Pelodiscus sinensis: one gene and its partners. The protein of the gene in region 1 purifies or fractionates together with the protein of each later gene. This does not show direct contact. Links are inferred from orthologs where the notes say so. Each region holds a gene or a part of one and is shown on either strand. Other genes may lie near its edges.

The links.
Region 2: the proteins of ESR2 (region 1) and NUP205 purify together in Homo sapiens (affinity purification with mass spectrometry; 3 studies listed by BioGRID and IntAct, with this or other methods). This does not show direct contact. The link is inferred for Pelodiscus sinensis from reciprocal best matches to the Homo sapiens genes ESR2 and NUP205.
Region 3: the proteins of ESR2 (region 1) and PSMD1 purify together in Homo sapiens (affinity purification with mass spectrometry; 3 studies listed by BioGRID and IntAct, with this or other methods). This does not show direct contact. The link is inferred for Pelodiscus sinensis from reciprocal best matches to the Homo sapiens genes ESR2 and PSMD1.
Region 4: the proteins of ESR2 (region 1) and SRSF2 purify together in Homo sapiens (affinity purification with mass spectrometry; 3 studies listed by BioGRID and IntAct, with this or other methods). This does not show direct contact. The link is inferred for Pelodiscus sinensis from reciprocal best matches to the Homo sapiens genes ESR2 and SRSF2.

Annotation. Positions count from the first base shown.
Region 1 is NC_134714.1:15,611,088-15,618,239, forward strand, and holds the start of ESR2 (estrogen receptor beta), read right to left. Parts: upstream 3,004-7,152; 5' UTR 2,942-3,003; intron 1-2,941.
Region 2 is NC_134711.1:85,276,846-85,284,165, forward strand, and holds the start of NUP205 (nuclear pore complex protein Nup205), read right to left. Parts: upstream 3,015-7,320; 5' UTR 2,881-3,014; coding exon 2,853-2,880; intron 1-2,852. UniProt on the Homo sapiens protein: Plays a role in the nuclear pore complex (NPC) assembly and/or maintenance. May anchor NUP62 and other nucleoporins, but not NUP153 and TPR, to the NPC.
Region 3 is NC_134720.1:50,712,180-50,719,766, forward strand, and holds the start of PSMD1 (26S proteasome non-ATPase regulatory subunit 1), read right to left. Parts: upstream 3,014-7,587; 5' UTR 2,721-3,013; coding exon 2,705-2,720; intron 1-2,704.
Region 4 is NC_134730.1:9,789,381-9,796,734, forward strand, and holds the start of SRSF2 (serine/arginine-rich splicing factor 2), read left to right. Parts: upstream 1-4,332; 5' UTR 4,333-4,580; coding exon 4,581-4,942; intron 4,943-5,263; coding exon 5,264-5,567; 3' UTR 5,568-5,574; exon of another isoform or gene 5,575-5,878; 3' UTR 5,879-7,354. Other genes in the region: UNC93-like protein MFSD11, read right to left, coding at 3,892-3,918.

The DNA of each region.
Region 1 (7,152 bases):
GGCCGAGGGAGGGAGGCTCACCAATTCCATGTCCCTCCATTCTACGAAGAGCTGAGGGTTGACCTCACCCATTTCCCCCCTCCAGATCTCAGAAGGGCTGCGAGTGTCACTAGTTCCCACCCCACCCTACCCCCGACTCTCTGAGTGGCTGGGTGGAGGCCTCACTGGTCCCTTCTGGCTCTCCAAGGTGCTGAGGAGTGGTTTCACCAGTCCTCTCCAGCTCTCTGAGGAGCTGACTCTCACCAGCTTCCCTACCCTGGCACCGTGAAGGGTTATGGGGCAGGCCTCACCCATTGCCCCCCTGGCTCTGAGAGAATCTTGAGGGGCCTCATCAATTTCTGCTCCCTGGCTCTCTGAAGCACTGGGGCCTCACTTGTTTCCCGCAGCTCTCAGAAGGACAGGGAGAGCCTCACCTGATTTCCCCCTCTTCCGCCCCTCCCCCCGTGTTGTCCAAGGGCTGAGGGGGAGGTGTGCCCACCCCCCAGCTCTCTGAGGTAGTCTCACTCATTTCCCCCGCCCAGCTCTTGGAAGGGATGGGGGCTCACCAGTTCCCTGCTCCCCAGCTCTGAGGGGCAGGGGAGTCTTACCCGTTCTCCCCCATGGCTCTTCAAAGGGCTGAGAGGGGTTTCCTCAGTTCCCCACAGCTCTCTGGGGTGTTGTGGGGAGCCTCACCATCCACACACACCCTCGCACCCCACCGTCAGCTCTCAGAATGGCTGAGGAGCCCTCATTGGTTCCCTCTCCCAGCTCTCTGAAGGATTGAAAGGCCTCAACTAGTTCCACTCGCCTCTCCAAGAGGCTTAGGGGGGACTTAAGCCCCCCGGTCTCTGAAGGGCTGAGAGAAGGCCTCACTGGTTTCCCTCCTCCCAGCCCGCTCTGATGAGCTGAGAGTGGGCTGCATCCATACCCCCCTCTAGCTTTCCGAAGGGCTGAAGTGGGACCTTACTAATTTCCCTCTCCTTGGCTCTCTGAAGAGCTGAGGCACCAGTCCCCCTCCTCCCGTACACTGAAGCCCTAATGGGGAACCTCACTGGTTCCCCAGGCTCTCAAACAGGCTGAGGAGAGGGGCCTCACAGGTCCACCATCACCACTCTCTACATGGGTCAGGGAGGGGGCCCTTACCAGCTTCCCTCTCCTGGCTCTCCAAGGGGAGGGGTGGGGGAGCCTCACTGCCTTTTCCCTCCCCAGCTCTCTCAAGTACTGGTTTCCTCCTCTCTGCTTCTCAAACATGCTGACAGGGGGCTTTACCAGTTCCCTCCAGCTCTCCAAATGGTTGAGGGGGGACTCACTAGTCTTCCCCCTCTCCAGCTCTCTGAAGGGCTAAGGGGGGGGGGGCCCACTTGTCCCCCGCCAGTGCTCCGAGACGAGGCCTCACCAGTTCCATGCCCATGCATCTAGAGCAAGCACAGACTAGTCTGTGGGGACTGAGGTGCTTGTGCTGAGGAGCCACCCAATCTCCCTTCCCCAGCGCACAGACCCAGGCCTGCCTGGAGCAGGCTCCCTGGAGAGAGAGGGTATCAGTACGACAACTACCACAGTGGCCTTCACCATCCCTGCCCTGCCACTGCTTGAGTTGCCCCAGAGGCACTTGCTCCTGGCAGCCTCCCATCCCCTGAGAGTTCCACTCCTCAGTGCTGAGGAAGATTCAAATCCCATGGGTACCACAGTCCTATCCCTTGATTGGGGCTGGCTATGTGTTGATTTCCTGGGGTGCCATGAGGTCGTCCAGCGTCTTCGCTCAGGGCCACGTGGCCCAGCATGTCCTGCCCTTAGCCGCCTTGCCAGTTCTTGCCTGCACCACTGGGGAGTCACGCACAGAGCTCACAATGAGTGCTCTGCACCCTGCCAGCAGCACACGCACTGCTGCCAGAGTCCCCTTAAGGCAGTGGTCCCCAATGCAGTGCCTGCAGGTGCCCGCCCGGGTATTTATGTGTGCCCGCCAAGTGCCCGGACGCACGGCGCATGGGCGACCCCACCCCCAGGCACGCGGCGGGTGCACGGCCCTGCCTCCGGCGCGCGGTGCGTGCACGGCCCCGCCCCCGGGCGCGCGGCGCGTGCACCGCCCGGCACCCCAAAAGGTTGGGGACCACTGCCTTAGGGTGTCACAGTGCTTCCCCTGTGCCACAGCCAGTCAGTCTCAGAAGCAGGGCTCAGGCATAATTCCCCACTCTGCCCACCGCGAGGCTCACAAGCAGCACACCCACCCTTACCCCACCTCCCACAGCCAAAGGCCTACGTTCAGGTCTGATGAGGTAATGAGCCCCTTACAGCTCTACCTTCCTCTGCAGTAGCCAAGTGTGAATCTGGGCCCTGAGATGCAGCTAGTGCATGAGTAGACAAAATACGGCCCGTGGCTCAGAGGAGTACTCAGGCAGGCTGCCTGCCTGCCATGGCCCTAAAAGCAGCCAGTTACTGCTGGTCTCTCTCTTCATGCCTCTTGGGGACAGTGAGACAGCGGATTTCCGTGCATTGCCCATGCCCACAAGCACTGTCCCCATAGTTCCCATTGGCTGATTTCCAGCCAATGAGAGCTATGAGGACAGTGTTGGGGGGAAGGAGCAGTGCTCAGAGGTCCACTGCCTCTCTTTCCTCAAGGGGCACACAGAAACATGGCAACAGCAGCTTCTGGGGTAGCCTGAGTACCCCACTGTACCGTGGGACAGGAGCTGCCTGTGCAAAGTGCCTCCTGGCCATAGCCTGTGCCACACCCTAACCCCTTACCCCAGATCAGAGTGCCCCTTCTGCACCCAAACACCCTCCCAGAACCCAGATGCCTTAACCTTTCCTGCACCCCAGCACTGTGCACCAGCCCCAAGCTCCCTCCTGCACTCAAACTCCTCCCTACACGTCACATTATCTCCCCTGCACCCCAGTGGCGTCCCAGAGCTCCTTCTTACACCCAAACTCAAATAGTAGAAATGTGTGGCCCATGATGACTTACCAAAGCTCGTGGAGTGGCCCCCTGCAAAAACTATTGCCCACCCTGGAGCTAGAGTGTCAGACTGCTGCAAAAGAAAACTGCTGCTAATAAACCACAGCTCCCTATTTAACAATGAGCACCTGGCAGGAAATGGTGTGGCATGTGTGCATTTCTGTAAGAGCCTTTTACAACACTACAGCTGCAATACTACAGGCACCATATATCCTAAATAACTATTAAGAGTAGCATTAAAATACATCTCTTTGTGAACTGTATTTTAAAAGATCAGCATTTATAATCTCAGCTGGGAACCAAACCTATAATTCTGGAGATAGTAACTACAAACCTTGAGTCCCATATGACTGCTGTTTGCATTAAGGACTTATTGTACTAAATAACTAGTTGGAATAAAGACACACCAGGTAAGCAACCAGAAACACAAGCAACGAGAAATATAAGGTTACATGAGAGAAAAAGAGGTATCATTCTTCTAATATAACAATTTCTTTAATATAAATTAGAAGACTGCCTTGAAATGAATATATTTTACTTATAAATACTGTAGAAGATTTAAAATTGAAGTTATATATGCATGGAATGGCATAATTATAACAGCATTTACAGCTGCCGAAGCCAGCATTTACCAGCTATCTAAGAATGCTGAGACAATGAAGTGAGAAGAGACGTAACACTGGACTGTATGTTCCCCTTGTTAATAAAGTACACGATGGAGAATATGTTCTAAATTAATGTCAATAAAGATATAATGCAAGCAAGTCCCAGAAACATTGAGAACAGTATAGCCAATGGGGGTACAGCTGCTCTGAACTAACATGATGTCCTCCATTAAAAAAGGGACTTCTAATGATTCTCAGTTCCTCACCAACTTTTTACAGTAAAAGAAACTCAAAAGAAGGGAAGAAGAAGGGGTCAGTGTGGATCTGCAGAAACTAGGATTTTGAGAACCCTAGTTAACGGCAAATACTCTTCCATTCTCTATTACGAAATTGCTTCTGCAGTTGTTCACTTAAGGCCATCACCTATTAAAGCACAACTGCAGGGAGTAATCTCACTTAGCCATACTGAATGCTTGCTCTCCCCAAATAGGTAACAAAACCAAATCTAGGGCTATATCACACAGCTTTCCTCTTCCGCAAAAGCCTATGCAAATGAAGTGTGGATTAGCATATTGTCATGCTTCATTTGCATAGATAATTAGGAGCCGTTTTTGCACAAGGTTTTTGTGCAAGAGCCATTCTTCCTGAAAAAATGAGGAAGAACGGCTCTTGTACAAGAGGGGATTTTTGCGCAAAAAGGCACTGTGTAGATAGTGCCTTTTTGTGCAAAAACCTCTTGCACAAAAACGGCTCCTAATTAATTATGCAAATGAAGCATGGCAATATGCTAATCCACACTTCATTTGCATAGACTTTTGCAGAAGAGGGAAGCTGTGTAGACATAGCCGGGGGTGTGGAGAGAAGAGGAAGGAACGGGACTAGAGCTGAAAGGGAAGAGGTGGAGCCAGAACCTCTTCCAGAAAGCTACTGTCTGGTGCAGCATCCCAACTGACTGGGAGAGTGCCTGGCTACAGCAACATCAGGCTGCCACCCTTGCTCAGTTTGTGGGGACAGTGGCCAAGCAAGCCAGAGGCCACTCCTTTACCCCCCGCTCTCCTCCTCCTCAACTCACTGAGCCACTGGTTCCAAAAGCCAACCTTGGGTGGGAGGCAGCCCCCTGCTACTACACCCAGGAGAGCAGCCAAACATGCTGTGGGAAGCCAGCGTAGGGGACTGAGCCCCCACCCCGGACAACATGGGGTGGGGTGATGAGGAGAGAGCAGGGGCCCTGGGCTGGAGTGGAGAAGTGTTGTGTGGGGAGGGCATGGGCCCCCTCTCCTTTAGCTGGCGTCCCCCCCCCCCATATCATCTGTTGATCTAAATTGAATGCAACTGCAGCACCTGCTGTGTGAATTGGTGAAGGCTGAAAATATTCTGGGAAAGGAACCCACCAGTTCAATATTTTACTGAGGCTACGTCTAGACTACAAGCCTCTTTCGAAAGAGAGCGTCTAGACTACAAACAGATTTTTTGGAAAAGCGAGTCTAGAGGCTCTCTTTCAAAAAAGTACAGTTTGCATTAAATAGCGCCTTTTTTCGAAAGAGTACTTTTGAAAAAAGGCATATTCCTCATAAAATGAGGTTTACTGCAATCGGAAAAACTGCCACGTTCTTTCTATTTACTTTCGAAAGAACGCAGCTGCAGTCTAGACGCAGGTGCAGGTTGGTTTTTTTTGTTTGTTTGTTTTCAAAAAAAGGGTACTTTTTTCTAAAAAACCCTGTAGTCTAGACACACCAGAGTCTGGATTATACCATGTCACAATGAGGCTGTGAAGTCCAGGGTGGGCCTGGGAATTTAGATAAATTACAGAGGCCTCCTACCAAGTTGGCAAAGACCTTTTGACAGTGTACCTGAGCAAGAGAAGACAGGTGATTCCTTAACTCATGAACCATTTTCTGCAGCTCCACAATATGGCGTTAAAGGAGAAAGGTAAATCCATTCCAGAAATCCAGGATAGTCCTAATAAAAGTCAAATCCTGAATAGACTAGAAAATAGATACAATTTCATTTATGCTTAAATCCAGAGCCCAAATGAAATAATAGGTGCCCTAGAGAGCATGAGTAATCCAAGAGTCAATCATCTAGGAAATTAAAAATGTATAGCTCCTGATGTCAAAGATGGGCATAATACCACTGCTAAACATTTAATAAAAATTGTGCTACCAAAGCACAAGACTTACTATTTAAAATGCTTGGCAATGGTCAATACTGCTTTAAACGCCAGGACCTTCAAATCTGGGCACGTGAATCGTTGAGTGGGAATCTATAGAGATAATTGTATGACTGTTGCGAAATATGTCCTGCCATGCTCACTGCTCAGATAGACCTTGAATATTTTCTTTTGTAGGCATCACGGAAGACACAAGTTTATTAATGTATATTATTAAGTGTTCTTCACAGAGCAACAAAAATGTTCTTTTTAGTTATGTTTTTGTAAGCATCTGGACGAGAGAGTTTGTGTGGGAAGGGAGCAGAGAGTGGAGGTATGAAGTTACTGCCTATTTGCAGTAGTCATGGATAAAATAATTTGGTGTGGGAATGGGTGTGACCAAGTGAATGTCTGTCTTCATCAATAGCATTTCTATAAATGTCAATGATTGTACTCAATCCAAGGTTGCCAAATAGGTCTCTTTTTTACTGTACAACTAATGTGCTTAAATAAAACTGCCCTACTGAGCAAGAAGGGATGTTTCAATCTTATTCAGACTAGAAAAGGAAAGGTCAAGATACAGATAATACTGCTATTGTGAGAACAAGAGGAAAGAGAAGTGAATTACAAAGCTGCCTGAAGTGACTGAATGATTTTCAAAGTATCTATAACAATTGAAGCAGTTGAGTTTTGTTCTTTGATCAATACAAACACTTAAAACAACTTGGCCTTTAAGTGGTCTGTTTTTAAAAATGTTGGACTAAAAAGAAACAACCGTTTTCACTGCTGTAATTGGTAAAAAGTTTAGTTACATAAGACAAGTCTTGCACAGATTTTAGTAATTTGCTGTCTTCCCTGTATGCATGATATTGCATTTACCTGCAAGTTTGTCAAGAACACCCATCATAAGCCAGATCACAAATCATAGTCAAGCCAGTAGGGCCATCTGCAGCAGGATCTTAAACAAGACTGCTGCATTAAGAGTGGAGGCAGGGGCACCATTGGAGTGGGGCAGTTACCCCTCCCTTTGCTTCATACTACTTGCTAATCTTAGTTGCTAACACCGGTAGTGCTCAGCAAATGTAGGTATTTCACTGAATGAACCAAGTGTAAGGGACCTGTTACCCCTTACTAAAACTCTGTGGGAGTTTTTTGGTTTGTCAGCTCCCAGTTTCAGAAGGGGAAAAGTTCATGAGACTGACAGACCCCAGAGACAATGGAAAGCAGCCAACACTCCAGCTCAGCCTGATTGACAGGTTGGACAGGCCAGTGAGGAAGGGGGGAGGCCAGGCCCCATCCTCCCTGTGAGCTGGGATTGTTCTGGCTCTCTCTGAGCAAACAGAGAGCTTAGCTACTGCCCAAGGAGTGCAAGCTGTGTGCAGAAGAAGTCCTGCAAAAACAGGGAGCTGAGAGACAGCCCAGGGAGAGCAAGCTGTGTGCTGAGGGGCAGTTTTTGCAGCAACAGA
Region 2 (7,320 bases), on another chromosome or scaffold:
TGTTCAGAAACATTGAAACATCAGAATTGTCAGTTTTATTCTGCTATTTCTCCACTCTACTTTCGCTGGCTGGCTAGGGTGAATCGCTTGTTGAACTTAAACTAAATTAATCTAGGCATCATGTAAACTGATTTATGAGCACATGTATGTGTATATAAGTTGCACTGGTTTAACTAAAACTGTGTCTTCATTGCAGAAAAGTTTAACTCTTTCATTGTGAACTCATGATAAGAGATAAGGCACGGATAATAGGGATATAAGCAAGTAGTTGACTACCCGATAAGTGTAGGCTTATCGGGTATTTGAGTTAACTACTTGGCTGCTTGCTTCCCCGCCCCCCTTTGCTGCCTCTGTATTAGGGATGTTAAATTGTGTTTAATAAGCTAATCAACTAGTCGAGGCACTACTCAACAACTCAATAAGCATATGTTATTAGAAGCAGCAGCGTGGAGGGAGGGCAGGGGAGGTTGCCACAAAGCAGCCTCTGCTTGCGGGGGGTCCCAGCTCCCCACCGGGACCCCTGTGGACAGGGGCTGCTAGACCCAGCATGAGCTGGGACTAAGCAAGCCTGGCTCAGTCCCCAGCTTGTGCTGGGTCTGGGACCTACCCCTGCTGCACCTCCCCCGTCGACTTCCCTTACTCCTCACCACTGCAAGGAATACTGTGGTTGACAGACCCGCTAAATCGAACCACAGAATATTGATCACTGGAGCATCAGTCCTCCAGTATTGTGGACAAGGCATCTATTTCATGCCATGATAGCTGAAGGAAGCCACTAAAATTTGTGAAGATAAAAAATTAAACTGGGGAAAGGAAAAAGGGAAGCTCAAAAAAGGGGGAGGGGGGACAAAAAACCTTTGGAGAGTGAACAGCTTTCCACTCTACAACATCTAGAAGATGAGACAAGAAATAGTAGGCTGCATTTCCACCATTTATTTGCTAAGCATGGAGTTCCTTAGCAGGATCCAGAAACAGTACCCTGGTGGGAATCACAGCATGTTGTTCCTTCCCCCTAGCTGGATTGAGGATAGTGTTTTGCGTGTATGTTCACAAGCATGCAGCACTCCATTACCAAGAGTGCCTCTAGACCCTGCTGCAATCCCATCATCCTCTCCCATACTCTCCAATGCATTTTAGTAGTTTATTTCAAGCCACAACAAAGATTTTTCCTTATGAAGAATAAGCCACATGCTACAGTCTCAAACTTTAAAACATGCACAAGGTTCATTTTACGTGAGAGAGTATTACTAGTGGCATCACATGTTTGTAGGACAGGGGCTAAATCTAGTTCAGCTATTTTCAATTTAAAAGTAGTACTGTTTCTAAAAGGATAAACTTAAAGAAATGGGCTGTGCCCACAAAAGCTCATGATACCGTCTACGGCTATCTACACTCACGGCTTCTTGCATGAGAAATATGCAAACAAGGCTAAGCGTGGAATATCGCCGAGCCTCGTTTGCATACCTAAAGAGATGCCATTTTTGCAGAAGAGGCTCTTGCACCAGAAGGAGCTGCCTACACTGCCCCTTCTTGCACAAGAAAAACCTGTTTGTGCAACGCCGCTAAACTGATTTTTTTCAGGAATAACGGCATTGCACAAGAGGGTTTTTCTTGCGCAAGAAGGGGCAGTGTAGTCAGCTCCTTCTGGTGCAAGAGCATCTTCTGCTAAAATGGCAGCTTATTAGGTATGCAAATGAGGCTCAGCAATATTCCACGCTTAACCTCATTTGCATATTTCCCACACAAAAAGCCGTGAGTGTAGACATAGCCTACATGTTTTGTTAGTTTTTAAAGTGCTATCAGACTATTTGTTGTTTTTTAAGTTTATCCTGTACAGACTAACTCGGCTACTGCCTGAAGCTTTTGTTCCTAAAAGATTAGGGTTCAGATTTTGATAATGTAGGGGCTGAAGAGAAAGTCCCTGCACCCATCATGCAGGACATGAACACCCCAAATGGCACCAAAGGGCAGTGAGAACTGCCCCCTAAAACTTTATCTCCCTCACGTTACTTGGGTTGCCAAGTCTCACAATTTTATCATTTATATTTCCGTAGTGACTAGGAAATCTAGTCTTTGTCCAGGACCCAATTGCACCAGATACTCTGCAAGAGTCCCTGCACCAAGCATTTGACAATCCATGAGGGAGACAAGAAATGAGAGATGGGGAACACAAGGTGCGTGTATTCATGTAAATGTGAAACTGATGAAAATTTCAGCAGTTACACGTGGGCGGGGGGGGAGGTAGCTCCCCACGTATCGGCTCCCACCCGCCCCCTGCACTGCTCCCTTTGATACAGACGCAGCAGCGCCGTGGGCGGCACTTATGTGTAACCATTCACATTAATCGCACACACGTTTGCGCTTCCACATCCCTTGTCAGCAGCACTAGCAGCCAGGAGGGGATCTGGCGACGCGGGGCCCCTGGGGTGTTTCTCCTCGGAGCACCTGCTCCTGCGATTATGCCAGACCCGAGGGGGGGGGGGGGGGTTCCTGGCTCGACCGAAGACGCGTTGCCAGGCACGGGGGCTGCAGAGAGCAGTGGGGGCCCGGCCCTAGACCTCGACCCCCCCCCCCCGGGCTCAGAAACTAAAAGGCAAAGGACCCCGCACCCCGGCTCTTGTGGGAGGCTTCCCGGGGCGGGGCTGGCGCACGGTCTCTGCCAGCCAGGCACACACGGGCGGGCCCGGAGCCGAGGGGGCCACAGATCTCGCGCCGCCGCCTCCTCTTGCTGCTGCACTTCTCCCCCCGCGGCCGTTCCCCTCGGGCGGGGCGGGGCGGGGCGGGGACAGGGGCCGCACGAGCCGGCGCGGCGCCGCCCCCTGTTACCGGCCTCGCGCTCGGGAGCCTTTTACCTGAATTTACCGCCAACAGCGCCGCCATCTTGGAAAGCAACTAACAGGCGCCGCCGCCGCCTCAGAGAAGCCCAGAAAGAGTTGGAGGCGCTTGAAGCGCTGCCTGCCTAGAAATACCGCTCTCCTCGCCGCCTACAGGGCACGCTGCTTCCCCTAAAATCCATAGTGGGATGGTCCCTAATACACTAATCAATTATACACCCCACTCCTGGTATTGGGTCCCTTTGAAACAGGCAGGGCTGCCTGTGGAAAATTGTGGGAGGGGGCCTTCGTGGGCTGCAATGCATGCCGGGAATTGTAGTCCATTTATGGATTATGGGAAGTGGCGCAAACTACTAAACTAAAGTTTCCAGGAAAAAAAACAACAGATACAGTAGCATCTTAAAAACTAACAAAATATGTAGATGGTTAGTCTTTACTGTGCTACTAGTCTATTTGCTGGTTTTTTGGTTTTAGTTTTTCCTGTTACAGATAAACTTGGCTTCCACCGCTGAAGCTTTTAAAGTTCCCAGGTAGTCCAGCTCTGCTCCCATACCCTTTACCCAGAGTGAAACCAGATGGATGGATATGCAGAAGCTTTATTCTGCTCACAAAACCACATCCCATTATCATGTTTGCACAACCAAGAAAAAATTCACAAGCACCAGGACCACTCCAGGGGACAAAATCTGCTCAACCCACCCTAGAATGGGAAATAATGTTATTTTGCTATCCTGTTTACAAAATATATACTTAGTTTCAAAAACTAGATTTCCAAAGATTATATTAATATAATCTATTTAAGTAGTCACAGCGACCAGCCTTTCCTACTTTAAACCATTTTGGACCCTTTATAACTTTTTCAGAAAATTGTTTTTAATAAACACCTGGAGTGCAGTGTAAAAATAACAGATTGCACATTTCATGTAATTATCTCAAAACACTTTTCAAGTGAGAAAACAGACAGGGCAGGCTGATTTACACAATGTTGCATCAATCAATATTATAGATCAATATCCTACAGAGAAACTGACCTCAAGTCTCCAGACTACTAGTTTAGCGACTGGAAACCAAAGAAAACATGTTTACAAAAATGACACAATTGTAATAAAAACAAATAATGACATCATGCAATTTAATTTATATTGTGGTATGAGTGTGAGTTATAATAATTATAGGTTTAATAGTAAAAGTCATTTGGAAATGTTACTGTGCTTGGTTCCTTCATATTATATATATTTGTATTAATGGTCTTTGTATTGCTGTGTTTTAATTTTATTAAAATATTTTTCAGTGGGCCTACTCACTAATAAAACTAGGCACATGTACATGTGACCACAAATGGACTTTTTTATGAGGCAATCAGATTCTATGCATGCAGTACTGTTGTAACTGTGTAGTTCCCAGGATATTACAGATACAAAGTGAATGAGCTAATACCTATTTTTGGACCAATTTCTGTTAGTGAGAAAGACAAGCTTCCTAGTGGAGCTCTTCTTCAGGGCTGAAGTAGGTCCAAAAAAAGATATTACCTCACCTATCTTGTCTCTCTAATCAGATTCTGTTTCATAACTCCTATCTCCCATAATTAACATAATATATATGTTTTATCCCTCTCCATTTTTCCTGCCTTCCTTTGTCAGATTCTGATGAACAAAGTGTCTTCCATTATATCCCTTTCTTTATAGCCATCACTGTGAAAAAAATATTCCTCAAATGTGTGCTATAAGGAAAGTGTGATTCCTTAATAGTGAAATTAATGCAGAGACAGTAGAAAATTTCTTAGTTTTTCAACTAAAAACTATAAATCAATTATCACATTTTAGGTTTTCAAAAACTGAATATCTTCAATTTCTGCAACTGTTCATTAAAAATCAGGAAAAATTTTAATGGAAAATATTTTTTTAAATGTGATGAAAAGGGACCTTTCTTCTGGAAAAAAAATCATTTACCAAAAAACAAACCCAAATTTTAATTTTAAAACATCTAAAGTTTTTTACCAATTCTACAAGCAAGTTAATTGGATTTGAAATCCTATTTCTTGTGGTCTTTGATTATGGAATAAAGCATCTAATCCTGAACACCAGGGAACCTACCCATCTCAGGCTATGTCTACAGTGCAGGCTTCTTGCACAAGAACACCCATTCTTGTGGAAAAATTTGCGGAGCCTCCACACTACAAGCCTGTTCTTGCACAAGAAAGTTTACAGTAGATCGTCATAAGAGAGGGTTTTTTGCTCAAGAATTATTCCTCTCCCCACGAGGAATAAACCTTTTTGTGCAAAAAGGTTGTGTGGACACTCCGCCGGTGCACTTCAACATGGAGCCAAGAACTTCTAAATTGTGGCAAAATAGATTATCAAAAGAAAGTTGAGGAAAGAACTGTCAGAAATAAAGAAAAGGCACAGAAAACAGTTAGACATATATCTGGAACTAAGGAAGGTGTACTAATATTTAACAAGTGTGATACATCTGAAGACTGTCTACTTCAGGGGTGGGAAATCTGGAGCCCACAGACCAGACGCAGTTCATCTGGGCTAGCCCCTAGCGGTCTGCCAGATACTTTGTTTACCTGAGCATTCACAGGGATGACCACTCACAGCTCCTGTTGGCCACGGTTTACTGTCTCCAACAAATGACAGCTACAAAAAGTGGTGGCCTGGCCTGCACCACCTCCCACAAACAGCAGCCAAATGAAGCATCTGGTGCTTGCCAGGGACTAACCCTGGTGAATTGTATCTGGCCAGCGCACCAGAGTTTCAGACACACCCTTTGGTCTATTTACTGCCCTTCTGTTTCAAAATAATATCTCTTGGAAGGCTTTCCTGTCCCAGTCACTATACTGATGGCAACTTTTCTTCAGTATATTCCCATAGAGATAAGAGATGCCTTCGAGAGACACATTCATGTCAGTGGCCAGTACTTAACATTTTCACACTTGAACTTTATTAAAATTAAGTTACTCTTCCTGCAAAATCATGTCCTTCAAACTATATCCATATAGAACAGACAGCAAATACTGAAGAAGTAGAGCGGACAAAAACAATTGGATAGGTGGGGAAAGAAAAAAGGCAATTCAGAGAAAGCAGAGACACTTGAGAGGAAGGATGAATTAATGAGAGACAAAGGAGGAAAAAAGACAAAAGCCAGAAGAAAGGGAATTACATTGGAGATTAATACAACCAAAAAAGGGAGAGATGGAAACAAAGGAAAAGAAAGGAAGAAAGAAAGAGAAAACCCATCCTGCCAGAAAGATTTCTTCTCACAGAGTTTGAAGGGTAGATATTTGAGAAAAGGATATATTTTCTTTTGGCTATTGCTCACATGAAACTAATTTGCTTATTTAAGTGAAAGACATTTTATACCACTAAACTCTTTCTCATTCTGGTCCTGGCCATTTGTCAGTTATGAATCTAGCCCACTCAAAGGTCAGGAAATGACAGAAGTGACAGGAGATTCAAACTGTCTTATTTCAGGTAGGAAAAAGTGTGTGAGGGAAGGGGTGGACATTGAAAGTAAAAAGATAAAGGAGAAAGCAAAAATGAGAAAGATTTATTTTGGCAGAAGGGAGGGTTGTCATGTTTCTTTTGACATTAAAATGTTTCCAGATTGTATGCATTTTTAAAAAATCCCATTGGAAGAGAAGATCCTCTGTAACTCCCACACATCTACCATTTAAAACTTCCAAATAATTCAACAACTTGCTCTGTCAATAGCTTAGATAACAACAACATGATGCAATGAAAAATGGGTCCGAGAGGGGCTCTTTAGATGAATGAATCTAGTGGGAACAGCATATAGTTTGGCCTTGTCTATACTAGTTCAACTTGGTGTGTGGGTGTGATTTTTACCCCAAATAGTTATATCAGTACAACTCAAGTGTTCTTCTTGCGACACCTGCCAGAACCTTACAGTAGTCAGGAAAACTAATGAAGCAACTAGCAAGTTGAATTTCAGGAGCATCAGCTCAATGAATCCCAGCACAGTAGGCACCGACAACACTAATGTGTAGCCCAGTATGCACATGCTAAATATATAATTGGTACAGTGATGCCTAACAGCAGTATAGCTTATTCCCTTTAACGTATGGAAATAAGGCATATTGGCATAATCTCTGTAGTCTTCAAATTAGGGAAATTGTACCACTTCATCTATCCTGGCACAGTCTACACTAGGAAAGTTGTACTTATTTAACTATACTGATAAGCTACATCTACACTACAAGGTTTTTTGCACAAAAACAGCTGTTTTTGCGCAAAAACCTGAGGAGCATCCAAACCTCAAATGAGCTCTTCACAATTAAATAGGCAGTTAAACGGCAGAACAGAGGGCTTTTTCTGCCGTAGGTAAACCTCCTTTTCTGAGGCATAACTGCTTTTAGCGCTACAGCTATTACACAAGAAGGCAAGTGTAGACGCTCCAGATGGGAAAAAGCACACGTGCTTTGATGGCCATTCTATGAATGGCGATCAGAGCTTTCTTGCGCAAG
Region 3 (7,587 bases), on another chromosome or scaffold:
AGTAATCGAATAAGGGATTAAGGGATCTCCTTCAACTATTCGATTAGTCTATAAGGGCACTTTGAACTATAGCAAGAGTCCTTGCGACACTTCAAAAGCAGAGGCGGGGTCAGTGGGGGACTCCTGCTGGCCCTACACTCCCTCAGCCTTTGAAATGTACAAGAGCCCCAGTGGGAGTGCTGGGGGAAAGCCTAATAGAGGCAGCAAGGGAGGGAAGTGACTAGTTGCATCACTAGTTGACTATCCAATAAGCTTACATCCCTAGCACAGATCCTAGCTACCCCCTCCCTAACCCTGAAATGCCTGCCTGCCTGCACACAGCTCCTAGCTAATCCCCCTTTCTACATCTTGAGCTAACCCCCCCCCAGAGCCTCCTCCTGCCACAACCAAAATAGGCTGGGTGGCCTGTTGAGGTGAGTCAGGTGCTAAGGGGGCACAATCTCACTAGACTCCTATTGAACTGGCCTGAACCCTGCTAGCCCGTGCCCCCAAAACAGAGGTCATATTACACCTCTGCCCCCCCAGGCCTAGACCCCCAACACCTTCCTTCCCCCGCTGAGCCCTGGGGTTTTGATAGCATGTTGCGTGAGGGAGGGGCTACCGCATAGTTCAATGAGACCCTTCAAGCAATTTTACCAGATGTCATCATAGGGAAATATGGTCACCCTCGAGTAGGGATGTAAGTGACTAGACGAGTCACTGCTCGACTAGTTGCTTCGCCCCCCACTTGCTGCCTCTGGGAGCAGGAGCTGGTGTTGGGGGGGAGCCAGCTTAAAAGCTGGTTCCCCACAGCACCATCTCCGTGGGGGGAGGGGGGAGGGGCAGAGGCACAGTGGGGGACTGGACCAAGCTGTCCTGGCTCATGCCCAGTCCCAGACGCTACGGCTCTGCCTTTTAAACGTAGTAAGAGCAAGGTGGCTCTTACTACATTTAAAAGGCAGAGCCACAGAGGGGCTAGCTGCCACCCCACTGCAACTCTGCAATTTTCCCACCTTTCGACTAATCAAGTAGTCGATGGAAATTCCATCAACTACCCAATTAGCTAAACACAATTTAACATTCTTACCCTAGAGGCACCCTAAAATAAATGAAGTTTAACAAATACAGCTGAGAGTAAACCAGAATGCACATGGTTATTCTACAAGATCTTACCAACAGTTTTATCCTTACTGTGCCAAGCCCCATTTAGATTCATAGCACAAGTGCCCTATTTAGTTCAAAACAACGAGGAGTTTGGGTCTTTGCCCAGGAAAGCTTATGCCCAAATAAATCTGTTAGTCTTTAAGCACTTCTCATTGCAGACACAGACTAACATGGCTCCCCCACTCATACTATTCAGTGCAGTGACACTTGGCAAAGGATGAGCAGCAGCCCTGGAGCTTCAGGTGACTGGGGTAGCCTCTCCCACTGAAACCCCCCACATACCCAGGAACACACAGTTCTGATGCCATCTCTCCCATAGAGAAGATAAGGGATGATTTACTCCGCTAAAACCAATTCTGTGTTATTTAAGATTTTTGACGAGTAGTTATCGGGCCTGGATTTGCACTCACTAAGTAGGTAGGGTGGCCACCCACACATTCCCAGCATACCGACTATTCCGGTACTTCCAGAATGGATGTGGGCCTGCCTGTGTCAGCAAAAAGCTCACCGCCCCTTTGGCATGACCTCCCACACACATGAGCAAGGTCACGCCAGTGGGGGTGTAGCAGTGCACTTTTCAAAGAGATAACCCCCCATAAGATACCATACAAAGGCAGGCTCGGTTTTGGCTCAGTATTGGTCAGAATATCCACAAGAAAAGTAGGAGCATGGTTTAAAACAGGATAAAAGTTCTGCCTCTGAATAGGCATCCACACTGCAGGGGGAGGAGCTTAGAGTGGAAATCTGCTAAGTCACAATGGAGTTCAGAGCACCAATGAAAGTGGATCTTTCCTACAACTGAGGCAGCTGACACACACCCGTGGATATCAAGGACTAAAAGCATTTGGCCATTACTGTGACTAGTCCCTGAAATGTCTCTCGGGCAGGGAGTCCCTTTAACTACAGGAAGTTAAAAGCCAAAGCCCATCATTCAGTTATGGAAACGTTCAGACAAATACATGTGTCTTGAGATGGATGTTACTAAACCGGGAGCTGACATAATGAGCAAAAGAGGGCGACCTCTTCCGAAGGAGCCCAGCCCCTAAGTCAGCATAGTCCCTGACACTAAATGCTTCCCTAGCCAGTCTCCACGGCTGTGACAAGGTGATGGGGGAAGAGCTGTCTCCCCGGGGTGCGAGGGGGAGGGGTGGGGGCAAAACCACACAAACCGAAACGCGTTTCCCTTTGATAGCCGGGCTCCCCGGAGATCACCCGCTAAGCCCCCTCCAGATCACCGACATACATCAGACGGGGAAACTGAGGCACGTACATCAGTACGGTCACCGCCCTAGGTGGGGAAACTGAGGCACGTGGCGGCGGGCAGGGCCTCGCCCGAAGGTGACACAGCAGGTGGGGGCAGGCAGAGAGTCCCCCCCCCCCCTCCCCCTCGGTCCATTCCAACCAGCCGCAGCCCCCCCCTCAGCCGGGGAGGGGGGAGCCCGCGTGCCCCCAGTGGGGGAGGGGCAGCCGGGTGACCCGCCGGGGGCTGGGGGGGGGGGTCTCGGCCCGGCCTGACTCAGCGAAATCCCGGCGGGAGCCGCAGGCCCCGCCCCGCGCTCACCGGCCGAGGTGATCATGCTGCCGCTCGGCCTCGCCCGGCCTGGCCGCTCGCTGCTCCGCTGGGGGGGGCGGGGGGCTCGGGAGCCGCCGATGCCGGTCACTCGGGTCCGCGCTCTGCCTAGCGCTGCCGCCACCCGCCGCCTCCTTCCGGCCCGGAAGTGTCGTCAAAGGACCCCTCAGGCCCCCGGCGAGCTGGCCGCGCGGCTGCCCGACCGCAAAGTGCCGGCGGCGGCGCTAGGAAAATGCGGGGCCCGGCTCCGAAGGGCGGGGGAGGGGGCAAGGGCCGAGTCGGCCCCCCCCCCTTCCTGCGGGCAGGAGCCCGGTAAAAGTGTCAGGCAGGAGCTGGACTACCCCTCCCTGCCCGCGTCGCGTGGCCCCTGCAGGGGGAGCGTGGTGGCTGGGGCAGGCAGCCCTCACGCGCTGGGACCCGCCCCTTTGCCCCCCCGCAAATACACGTGCCTCGCCCCCTTTGCAGTTGGGGGGTTACTGGGCATGGAGCACTACAGGGGCAGGTGCCCCCCCCCCCTTTTAATTGGTCCATAGGCTCCAATCCCCACTGGCCTTTGCAGGCTCCCATGCAATCACAAAAAGCAGGAGCTATTCATGTGTTTTGCAAGGTTTAGGCTCCAGCACAGTAATGATGGTAAGTAAATAAAAAGAGGTCAGGCTCCATTCATCACATCTGGCAGGCAGGATGTGGCCCCTGCCCTTTGCCCATTGACACACTTCAAAGAGGGGTTAAACTTCTATGTGAGCATGCGAGTTTCCTTTCCCCCTCAAAAATCGGAAATGATGGCTGTAGGCTACATCGAGACTGGCATGATTTTCCGGAAATACTTTCAACAGAAAAATTTTCCCTTAAAAGCGTTTTCGGAAAAGAGCGTCTAGATTGGCAGAAAATCTAGACATGCTTTTCTGCAAAAAAGCCCTGATCGCCATTTTCGCCATTGGGGCTTTTTTGCGGAAAAGCTGTCTACACTGGCCCTTTAGCGCAAAAGGACTTTTGCCCGAACAGGAGCAGCATAGTATTTCCGCAAAAACACTGACAATCTTACATGAGATTGTCAGTGCTTTTGCGGAAATTCAAGTGGCCAGGGTAGACAGCTGGCAAGTTTTTCTGGAAAAGTGGCTGATTTTCCGGAAAAACTGGCCAGTCTAGACACACCTCTGCTGTGTACATGCAGAGGCACAATTCCTCCAATTCCACAGCCTCTATATATCCCAGCCACGGAGCCCATCGGTCCCCCTAAAACCATTGGACATGGAGAAGAGACACACAAGGGAGCATGTGAAAACAGGAAAGTTTAGGCTGAACATCAGGGGAAATTTCTAAGGGTTTGTCTGTACCTTAAACGAGCTTTGCTGCTATAAACTTGCATACAATATTAACTGTCCAGTCAGAGCCCAGCCTGCATTGGGCTAGGTTCTGTACAGACAACAAAGGTTCTTTCGGGCTAGCAGCCATCCTATGTAGTGAAGTGCTCCCAGCTTCTCCCACAAGTTGGTGGTGGGGGAGGAAAGGAGGGTGGGTTTTTTTTAAACCCACACAACTACAGGAATCCGGGCAAGGCTACAGCAAGAAAGAGCCCTCATGGTAGGTTTTCTCCTCATCTTATCAAAATTCACAAGCTGAAAAAGGGAAACCGAGCTATCTTCCTCTAACAAAATATTACCAAATCCCTCTCCCCATTGACCTGCCACTGTGTTTGCTGACACAACAGTGCAAGGTCCAAATGCCCCTTCTGCTTTTCATGTAGTGCCTTCCTTATCAGCACAGCATTTAGGCTTGTAGACTCGTGTTCTGGGGCCAGTTTGGATAGATCTGACACTCAGGTCAGGAAACTCAGAGGCTACACAGAAAACTGAAGTTTTACAAAGTTTGATCTGGAACAAAAGTTCTGACCCTGGTCTAGCAGAGTCAATTTCTGCAGATTCTGACCCAGAAGGAAAAGTATTTTTAAAAAATAATTTTAAGACACAACCCCCTAAGTCAATGTAGTTGATGGTGGCAGCATACACAAACAAGCCTTTGTGCTGCAATTATAACCACATTGGAAAAGGCAGCAGAGTGGCCCTGCTCCTAAATGAACAGTGCCAGGTATCCCAGTTCAACTGTTCAGTCACTAATTAAAGTCCATCTGTACTGCACAAGATGACCAATTTGGCTGGCACTATGGATTGCCACAAAGACAGGTTTCACTATTCTCTGCAGCGCAGAAAGGATTTACAAGGACTTCCATCTCCCCCAGCTTAGCTTACATCAAATCAATTGAAAGTCAAAGTCGGGTCCATATCAATGATATTGGAGGGAACATTCTGATGGACAGCAATAAAACTGCAGAAAACAATCTAGAATATAGAATTCACTGTAAATCTGTTTATTTATTCCTTACATCAAGGTAACAATGTCCCACAATTAGTCTCCCAATTAAATACATAAAACACCTGCTTCATCTATAAAAGGTCAGTTAACGCTCTTAAAAAATTCAAGACACTTTCCTTCTGTAGACGAATGTCCAGTGGAAGATACATGGGGGCCAGCTATTCTCCCGTTTACTTCCACATGCATCTAGAATGATTCCATTCACTTCAGTCAAGTCATTACAAGTGTAAATCTAGAGCAACAGTGCAGAATTTGGCCCCCAAGTCTGTATACATTTTGTGGGTCTCCACAGGGATATTTTAAATGGTTAATTCATGAGGCCTCAACAGATTACAAAGATTGACATAAAATGTCACTGCTGTTATGGGACTAAATTAGTATGAAAAGTTTAACTGTTATGGATACATCTACATTGTGGGCAAAAGTCAGATGAAGATGCGCAACTTCAGCTACGTTAATTGCATAGATAAAGTCGAAATAGCTTAATTCAGCTTTAGGCTCTGTCTACACAGCAGGGAATCGAAGGAAGAACACTCCTCCTTTGACTTCCCTTATTCCTCCTTAAATTAGGGTTACAGAAATTGGAGTAAGAAGCCCGTTATTTCGAAATGATTTTGGAATAACAGGCTTGCTGTGTAGACACGCACTTTGTTATTTCAAAAGAACGCTGCAATAGACACAGCCTTTGTGACCTGCTTTTAATTTAGAGATTAGAGGGGGTCATAAATATGTAACAGATTCAGATCCAATCTACACTACAGTTATGGTCAACGTAAGGCATCTTACGTTAGCTCAGCATGTACACCAGGATGCTCTTCTGCCAAAGTAAGTGGCAATCTACAGCAACATAACTCCACCTTCTTGAAAGATGTAGCGCATATGTCACTATAGATGCAGTGTCCATGTAGACATTGTGTTACTTATGTTGCCGGTAGGGCGTGAGCCCATGCCCGGCTGACAACTCTGGCTGCTAGTTGGGGAGAAGGTGGGAAGCAGGTATGGATCCCAGGCCTACTGGGCTCCAGCTGTCCGTGTCCCCCAGTGCCCCACTTCAGACAGTGGAAGTGGTCTCGGTGAGTACATGCACCACTGACAGAAGGAGCAAGTGTAGACATGAACCGCCACTTTAATTACTGAAGTGGCTGTGTGTCAACTTTACATTCATTTTCTAGCGTAAACGTGCCCTCTAGCTACTTGCAAAGCTCCCAAGATGAGCTGTGCAAGACACCAAGCATTAGCCTGCATTCGTTTCCACCAACTGAGCTAACAACTGCTTCTCAGCCACCCACAATCAATGACTTGACCAAATCACATTATTACATTTGCATTTTCAACTTGCTTGTAACCTCAAAGCATGTTTTACCTACAGAGTACCCTGTGGTCTGGAAGCAAGACGGTGCTGGTCCCCTCTATCTACTTTCTTACATGCCATGCCACTGAAGTAGAACCTCAGAGTTATGAGCACCTCAGGAACGGAGGTTCGTAACTCTGAAATATTCGTTAACGGTAAGAACAAAACTTTATGGTTCTTCTTTCAAAAGTTCACAGCTGGCTATTGATTTAATACAGGTTTGAAACTTTCCTGTGCAGAAGAAAAATGCTGCTTTTAGGCATTTAAATGAAACACACAGAAAGTTCTCTCACCTGGTCAAATCAATGTGTTGTATCAGGGATTTCCTGGCTTGTTTTGTCTCTGCTACTGCCTGATTGTATATTTCCAGTTCCAGATTAGGGTGATCAGTCAGTTCATAACTCTGAGATTCTACCTTATTGTATTATCTACCTCCTAGGGTCACTCTAAGGCCTTGTCTACACATGAAAGTTTTACACAAGTATAACTCCCAGTGTGGACACACATACTAAAATAAGCAACTGGGTAAGAAACTTTGTAGACGGGGGGGGGGGGGGGGGAGCAGTAGATAGCTTGACTGTAGCAAGGCATTTGATACAGTATGAATTACTCTCTCAGAACAAACTAGGGAAATGCAACCTAGATGGTGCTACTATAAGAATGGTGCAAAACTGGTTGGAAAACCCTTCTCAGAGAGTAATTATCAATACTTCACAGTCATCCTGGAAGGGCATAACAAGCAGGGTCCTGCTGGGATCAGTTCTGGGTCCGGTTCTGTTCAATATCTGCATCAATAATTTAGATAACGGCCTAGAGAGCACACATTTATATATGAAGATATACCTATCTCACAGAACTGGAAGGGACCTTGAGAGGTCATCGAGTCCAGTCACCTGCCCTCACGGCAGGACCAAGTACCATTTATAAAGTCTGATGACAATACCAAGCTGGGAGGAGTTGCAAGTGCTTCAGAGGATAGAGTTAAAATTCAAAATTATCTGGACAAACTAATGAAGGGGTTTGAGGTAAATAAAATGAAATTCAGTAAGGACAAATGCAAAGTGCTCCACTTAGGAAGAAACAACCAATTGCACACTACACAAAATGGGAAATGATTGCCTAGGGAAAAAAGTACTTCAGAAAGGGATCT
Region 4 (7,354 bases), on another chromosome or scaffold:
CTTTCAAGTGCAGATGTAAAAGGTCTTTGTAGCAGAATGAGGAGTGCATGTTCCCCACCTGGGGCAGGCTCATGTTCATCTGTTCCCTGTGTTCCCGTCAGAGTGAGGAATGAAGCAAACTGCATTTTCCACTTGCTCCCTGATGTAGGGGGACAGCTAGCAACATCCCTGTATGTATTGGGGATGAGCTTTAGCCCACACTTCCTAAAGAGCACCTGGGGATGAGAGGCTCAAGGCTGGGGCAGTCCTGGAGGGGTGTGGGAGGCCGGGGGACAGGCTTCCAGCCAGCCTCTTTCACCTTCCTGCTGATTCTGTCTCTTTTCTGTTAGGTTTTATGAGAAAGAATCCCATTTTCTTGGCACAACTAAACCCTTACTTTGTTTTAAGTTATAAGAGAAAGCTGTATACCAAATTTGGTGGTCCTAGCTCCTACTCTTTAGGAGGAAAAGCTTCAGAGGGATAGCCAAGTTAGTCTGTAACTAGATAAACTTAAAAAATAACAAATAACCTAGCAGCACCTTAAAGACTAACAAAACATGTAGATAGTATCATGAGCTTTTGTGGGTACAACCCACTTCTTCAGATGAATGAACACCATTTTTTCTATCTAGGAGGAGTTCTTGAACACACAGACAGACAGAATCTCACATATGGCAGATTTTCACTACTGAGTATTTATTAAACAAAGCACTATACGAAGAACAAAAAGTAAAATCTTAATACTAGCTTTTAAAAATCTCTCCTTCACACTGTAATCCCAGAGATCTTTGGAAATGAAGTCTCCTTCATTTCAATTTATTTTCTTTTTAAACAAAGTAATGTCTAAAGGTCACAATCATAAACATTTAATAATGAGCTACGTAAGTATTAGTCATTATTATTATTGTTAGTAGTAGTAATAGTAGTAGAGGTATTATACTAGTGTAATTGAAAACAATGACAAATTTCCCACTTTCACACTAACACTGATACAGCACCACAGGTTAGTGAAGTATGGTCACAGTCCAAGTATGGATAGGCAGATTGTATCTCTTCTATACCAGTTTGAGAAGGGATAGATACTGTGACCAGATGTCCTGATTTTATAGGAACAGTCCTGATATATGGGACTTTGTCTTATATAGGTGCCTATTACCTCCCACTTTCCTGATTTTTCACATTTGCTATTTGGTCACCCTAAGTGTAGACAACTGAGAAGTAACAATTCCAAATTCCAGTCTATCTCAGTACTCTCCCATTGTGTGCATCTAGACTACATTCCTCTTTCGAAAGAGGAATGTAAATGAAGGAAATTGAAAATGTAAATGAAATGCAGATTTACTCTTGCGCTTCATTTGCATAATCACATCTGATTGCTTTTTTTAAAAAGTTTTCGGGAAAAAAAAGGTAGTCTATATGCGGTTCTTTTGGAAAAAACTTTTTCAAAAGAACCCTTATTCCTGAAAAAATGAGGTTTATAGGGTTCTTTCAAAAAAGGATTTTTTTCGAAAGAACCGCGTCTAGACTGCTTTTTTTCTAAAAAACCTTTTTTGAAAAAGTGATCGGACGCGATTATGCAAAGGAAGCATGAGATTTGTAAATCTGTGCTTCATTTGCATGTTTGATTTCCTTCATTTACATTCCTCTTTTGAAAGAGGAATGTAGTCTAGATGCAGCCACTATTGCTACCATCCCAATAAAGAAACTACCAGGATATGTTTGGGAGGGAATGCTACTTTCACACACTATGGCAGGGTGGGATTTGGCACTTGAATGGGATACCCCTTCCCTGACCACAGTATAGTGGCACGGAGTGTGTTTGGCAGGGAAAAGAAAGGGAAGGAGTTTTACACAATACCCGGACACCAGGGGCAGATGACCATTTTGCGGGGCCCAGAGCAGCACAATTTCGCGGGGGCCCCCTTTGCCACGGCGCATGCACGGTGGCACCACACGCATGTGCGGTGGTGCCACGGCGCATGCGTGGGGCTTCTTGAAGCGCGGAGCTCGGGGCGGCTGCCCCACTCGCCCTGCCCTATATCCGCCCCTGCCGGACACTACACTTGCAGCTTGAGGTAGAGCCTCATGCTATCCTTGAAATAGCAGAACAAGTGGGTATGAATGTGCTGAGAGTTTCAGTTTGTATCTCCCACACTATGTGGATTCAGTAGTGGAGGGTTAAAATGACATTTTCTGCACCCAGGTTGAAAAGGGAGAGCATGGGCATGTAGGCAGAGCCCAAGCATAATTTTTTCAGGCAGGTACAAATTTGTAACAGGGGCCCTGTCCTGCACACACAGCACAATTTGCAGCCTGAGCTGCGCTCCACCCTCCTTACATTCAGGCGCAGGTAAAATGTACTCTTCCTCCTATGTGGGGGCTCTGTATGTAGAAGGATCCTTAACACCGCTGCACCAGCATTGAGTTTCGTGCACTGACCCATACAGTGGCAATCCACAGGACTTGACCAACAGCAGCGAAAGCCGCTCGCCAGCCCCGCATTGCGCATGCGCACGCCGCCAGTAAACGGGGCGTGTGGCTGAAATCTAGTCGCCATGGGCGAGTAGATTCTATAGTCTGTCGAACCCTGGCGATCCATGTGCGGGGAAGAAATGGGGCTTTAATGGGAATGGCTAGCATGACAGCTGCATGTGTGTGCCCAAAAGGGGCATATGATAAGGGCTCCCATCCCGTAGAACACTGGTCACCAACCAGTAGATCGGGATCTACTCATAGATCTTGGTCTGTAACAGGTGATCCTAACTGGTTTGGCCAAGAGGTTACTGAGCCCAGCACTTCCGTTTCCCCCCACCCTCGAGACTGCTGCACGTCTCCTGCCTTTTCCCTTGGAGCTGTCTCCTCAGGAGCCTTTGTTTTTCTGTGCGGGGCAGGAGAAAGAGAGGAGGGGGTGCTAATGTCAAGGAGCCCCCTCTCCACCCTGTATCCTATCTCTACGGGGGGGTGGGGAGGTAGAGGGGGCCACAGCAGGACTCGGGATGGAGGGAGTTTGCTGAATGCTTTTGGAACTGGTGCAGGACCAGGGCGGGGGTGAGCCTGCCTTAGCCCCACTGAGCCACCTGAGGTAAGCAGGAGCCACCTGAGGTAAGCAGTGCCCAGCTGGTGCCCACATCCCAAAACCCTACCCCAGTCATGAACCTTCTCCTGCGCCCCAAACCCCTGCCCTAGCACCCCTGCATCCAAACACCCTCCCAGAACCTGCACCTAGAACCCCCTCTGGCACTCCAACTGCCTGCCCCAGGCTTAGCTCAGAACTCCTCTCACACTCCAGATCCCTTAATCCAAGACCAGAGCACCCCAGCCCTCTGTCCCAGACTGGTGAAAGAGATCGAGGGTGAGGGAGGGAGGCTAGAGCGAGCAGGGCCAGGGCCTCAGAGAAGGGGCACAAAAGAGGTGGGATATGGGTATCTGGGCTTGAGGTAGATCTTGGATTGCAATTAAATTAAAAAAGTTAGCTCCTGCTTGAGAAGGCTGGAAACCACTACCATAGAACCAGAGCCCCAGATGGTGCATGCATGGGGTGGGGTCCAGCTGCCCTCGCTGCCAGTATCTCCAGGGTTGCCATGTGGCCAGTTGTGAACCACAGTCCAGTATTTGAGCTTTCTGTTCGGGAAACAAATTGAGAAAATATAAATGTCCGGTATTTTCTAAATAAGATGTAATGCAGATTGTGATGTCATGTCAAGTGTGTTTTGTATTTTTGTTGAAACCATCTCTAAAGCGGGTGGCTCCTCACTGACCAACCCCCAATACTGGTGACTGTGCACAGTCACTGCAGCTTAGGGTGAACTTTGCTATCGCCTCCTCCCGTGCCCTGGAGCCGGGTTCCTGTCCCTGTCATTCATACACAACACAGCCTGGCAGGCTCACACCTTCCCTCCCCCTCACACCCACCAGCCCTTTCTGCTGATCGGCCGCCATTTTGAAACGTTTCCTTCCTCAACTGCTCCGCGCTGCTTCGGCGCGGGAGGCTTCGCCCAGAAATCCCGCGTTCTGTGGAGTTTTCCTCCTTTCCCCACGGCACGAACATTCACTCTTAATCTTTGTCCCGATTTTCAGGCCACATTTCTTTCAAAATTTCCCCGCCTCAGACAATCCCTTCCGGGGTCACGGCTTAGCGGCCCCAACGGCCCCTTTGTGGGATCGCCGAATTATTCGTTTAGATTCGGACACATCGCAGATGTTTCGCAACCGCTTCCGTAAACCTCGTAAAAAGATGAAAAATAATGCAGCAATCGTGTTAGGGACGGAGAGAGCACGAGAGGCGCGCGCGGAGACCCGCTTCGCTTCCGGGTCAGAAGCGGCCATTTTGTAGCGTTAAGTAGGAGGGCGCGGGCTCCACCTTGTTCATTTGCTAGTAGCAGCGGGAAGAGGCGGGTGGTGGCTGTGCTGTATTTGCCCTCCCACATTCTCGGCCTCGCCTTTACTGGGCTGTTTTCTGTCGTTTTCCAGATTTCTGTCCTGAGTTCGGGCCCGCTTCCTGGCTTGAGGACCCTCAAGGCCAGACCCGCTACCGACTCTCCTGATCGCTTCGCCCGGTTTCTCTTTTCAGTACCGCCGCCCCTCGGGGGCCTCTGCCCGCCATGAGCTACGGGCGCCCCCCTCCCGATGTGGAGGGCATGACTTCCCTGAAGGTGGATAATCTGACCTACCGCACGTCTCCGGACACGCTGCGGCGGGTCTTTGAGAAGTACGGGCGGGTGGGGGACGTCTACATCCCCCGAGACCGCTACACCAAGGAGAGTCGCGGCTTTGCCTTCGTCCGTTTCCACGACAAGCGCGATGCCGAAGACGCCATGGATGCCATGGACGGTGCAGTGCTGGATGGGCGGGAGCTCCGAGTTCAGATGGCCCGTTATGGGAGGCCACCGGACTCGCATCATAGCCGCCGGGGTCCACCGCCGCGTCGATACGGAGGTAGCGGTTACGGACGCCGCAGCCGCAGGTGAGGATCAGGCGGAGGCGGGGAAGAAGATTGCTTCCCCGGGGCGATAAAGGGCTGGGGGGGGGGAGCCTGGGGAAAACCACTGTCCCCAATGTGACGCGATGGGGGAGGGGGTTTCCTAGCTGGGGAGGCAGGATCGGCGCGAAAACTCAGTTCTATAGAGCCACGTGGTGGCGGGAGGGTTCGGGGGTGGCTGGAATTATTCCTCGGAATAATGGCGTTTCGTAACCGCCACGAGGGGGGGGGGGGTGTTCCGCCCTGACTGGCCCAGCCGTATCGCTCTTTTTTTTACGTCTAACTGAGTGATTTTTAACGTTCTAGCCCCAGAAGACGTCGCCGTAGCCGATCCAGGAGCAGGAGCCGCTCTAGGTCTCGCAGTCGATCCCGCTACAGTCGGTCCAAGTCCAGATCCCGCACACGCTCCCGATCTCGCTCCACCTCCAAGTCTAGGTCTGCCAGGAGATCCAAGTCCAAGTCGTCATCCGTCTCCAGGTCCCGATCCAGATCGAGGTCCCGATCCAGATCTAGAACCCCCCCACCAGCCTCAAAGAGGGAATCTAAATCTAGATCCAGGTCTAAGAGCCCCCCAAAATCTCCTGAAGAGGAAGGAGCTGTATCCTCTTAGGAAAAAGGTAATGTAGTTGGCGCTCTCTGCATGTTGCATGATACTTCATAATAGCACTTACTGGGGTGTATTGGGATAGTTCTTACCATCTTAAGAAACACTGAATCCTAGTGGGACACACTGTTAGCGTTTTGAGTAGACTTTTCAGTTACTTGGTTAGGAAACTAAATTTCTGCAGGGGACATTTTCATGTTTTTTGTTTAGGGATTAATGGTTTGGTTTTAATAAAATATTGTATGAGACGCAACCTATTAATGAAAATGACTATTTCTTGCTGTTTTTATCCAACATCTGCATTTTCCCCTTTAAAGCTGCGGTCTCCTGTTTGCTAAAAGAATATTGGCCAGTATTGCAGATTTTAACTGATTTGGCTGATCCTCCAGGGACCAGTTTCTGTGGGCGTGTTTTGGAGCAGGTTTGTCTTTAAAAGTTAAAGATACACTATCCTTTTATAATGGAAAATCTGTTCAGTGGTCATTGTACTGACTGAAGGTAAAGTAATTCTAGAAGTGGCAAATGCAATGCAATAAAAATGGAAACTGGTTTTTCCTCGAACTTTAGAGGCATCTAAAAATATCCTGGGTGGGGAAAGGATAGTGTGTCTTTAACCCCTCAAACTATTTGGTCCTGTTTTTAAAATGGAAATAGGTATGAGAACTGTGAGGTTAAATAATTAGATTAAATTTCATGGTAGTGTCTCTTATTGAATGCCAGTAGGAAAATTGAGATTTTTACAAAATAGTATACAAATGTTAGTATTCATTATAACTTATATGGGCTAAAGTCGAGTAAGTGTATGACTTTCACAGCCTGTTGCTTGCTCTTCACTAACTCAGTTTAAACTAAGTGACTGTTAAAACACTTCGTCATGATCATCTTTGAATTTTAAATTTGGCCTTTGAAGAGAGGCAATATGGTGATAAGGGGGGGGGGGAGAGGGGAGCACTGCACATAATCCTTAATAAAACTTAATTTAATTAGACAAAGCCAGTTGAAACGCAACCAGAAGCATACTTGAAGTCATCCAGGTAATTGGGAAGGTGCATGGTGGAATCCTGACTGAACTGTTTTCTTTTCAAACCTAGATGCATCAGATAAATGAGAAATCAACATAAAGGACACATCTGGGGTGGAAGATCCTTTGAATCTTCAGTCCATTGGAGAGACCCCAGGCACAAGCAACCAGCTGTTGAAAAGGTTATTTTGTAACATTTTTGTCTTAACTTTTTACTTGTTTTAAGTTGAGCCTCAAATGGCAGACTTTACATTTTATGTGCCATTTTGTTGCTGTTATTCAAATTTCTTGTAATTTAGTGAAGTGAACGACTACCGATTTCATTATTGGCTTGGATATTTGAGGTAAATTTTCATTTTGTTTATATAGTGCTGACTTGTTTGACTTTTTAAAAAAACTAATGGCAACTTAATTGATTGCCTCAAGTTTCATGTTGAGGAAACATGCAGCCATTACATGCTGAGTAGCTGACTGTCAAGGAAATGTTTTCCAATTTGCCTTCATTCCTTCAATAAAATTCTGCAAAACTTCTTCAAATGTAAACTTATTGTAAATGCTATTTACTTGGAATTAAAATAGTATTGTCTGTTCCAAATTTGTATAAAACTTTTTTCAGGTGACAATTGATTTTTGAAAAGACTGTTTTATCAGACTCAATTCTAATCTCTTCTCTTATGTATTTTTGTGCACTAGGCGCAGTTGTGTAGCAGTTGAGTAATGCTGGTTAGCTGTTAAGGTGGCGTGTTGCAGTGCAGAGTGCTTGGCTGTTTCC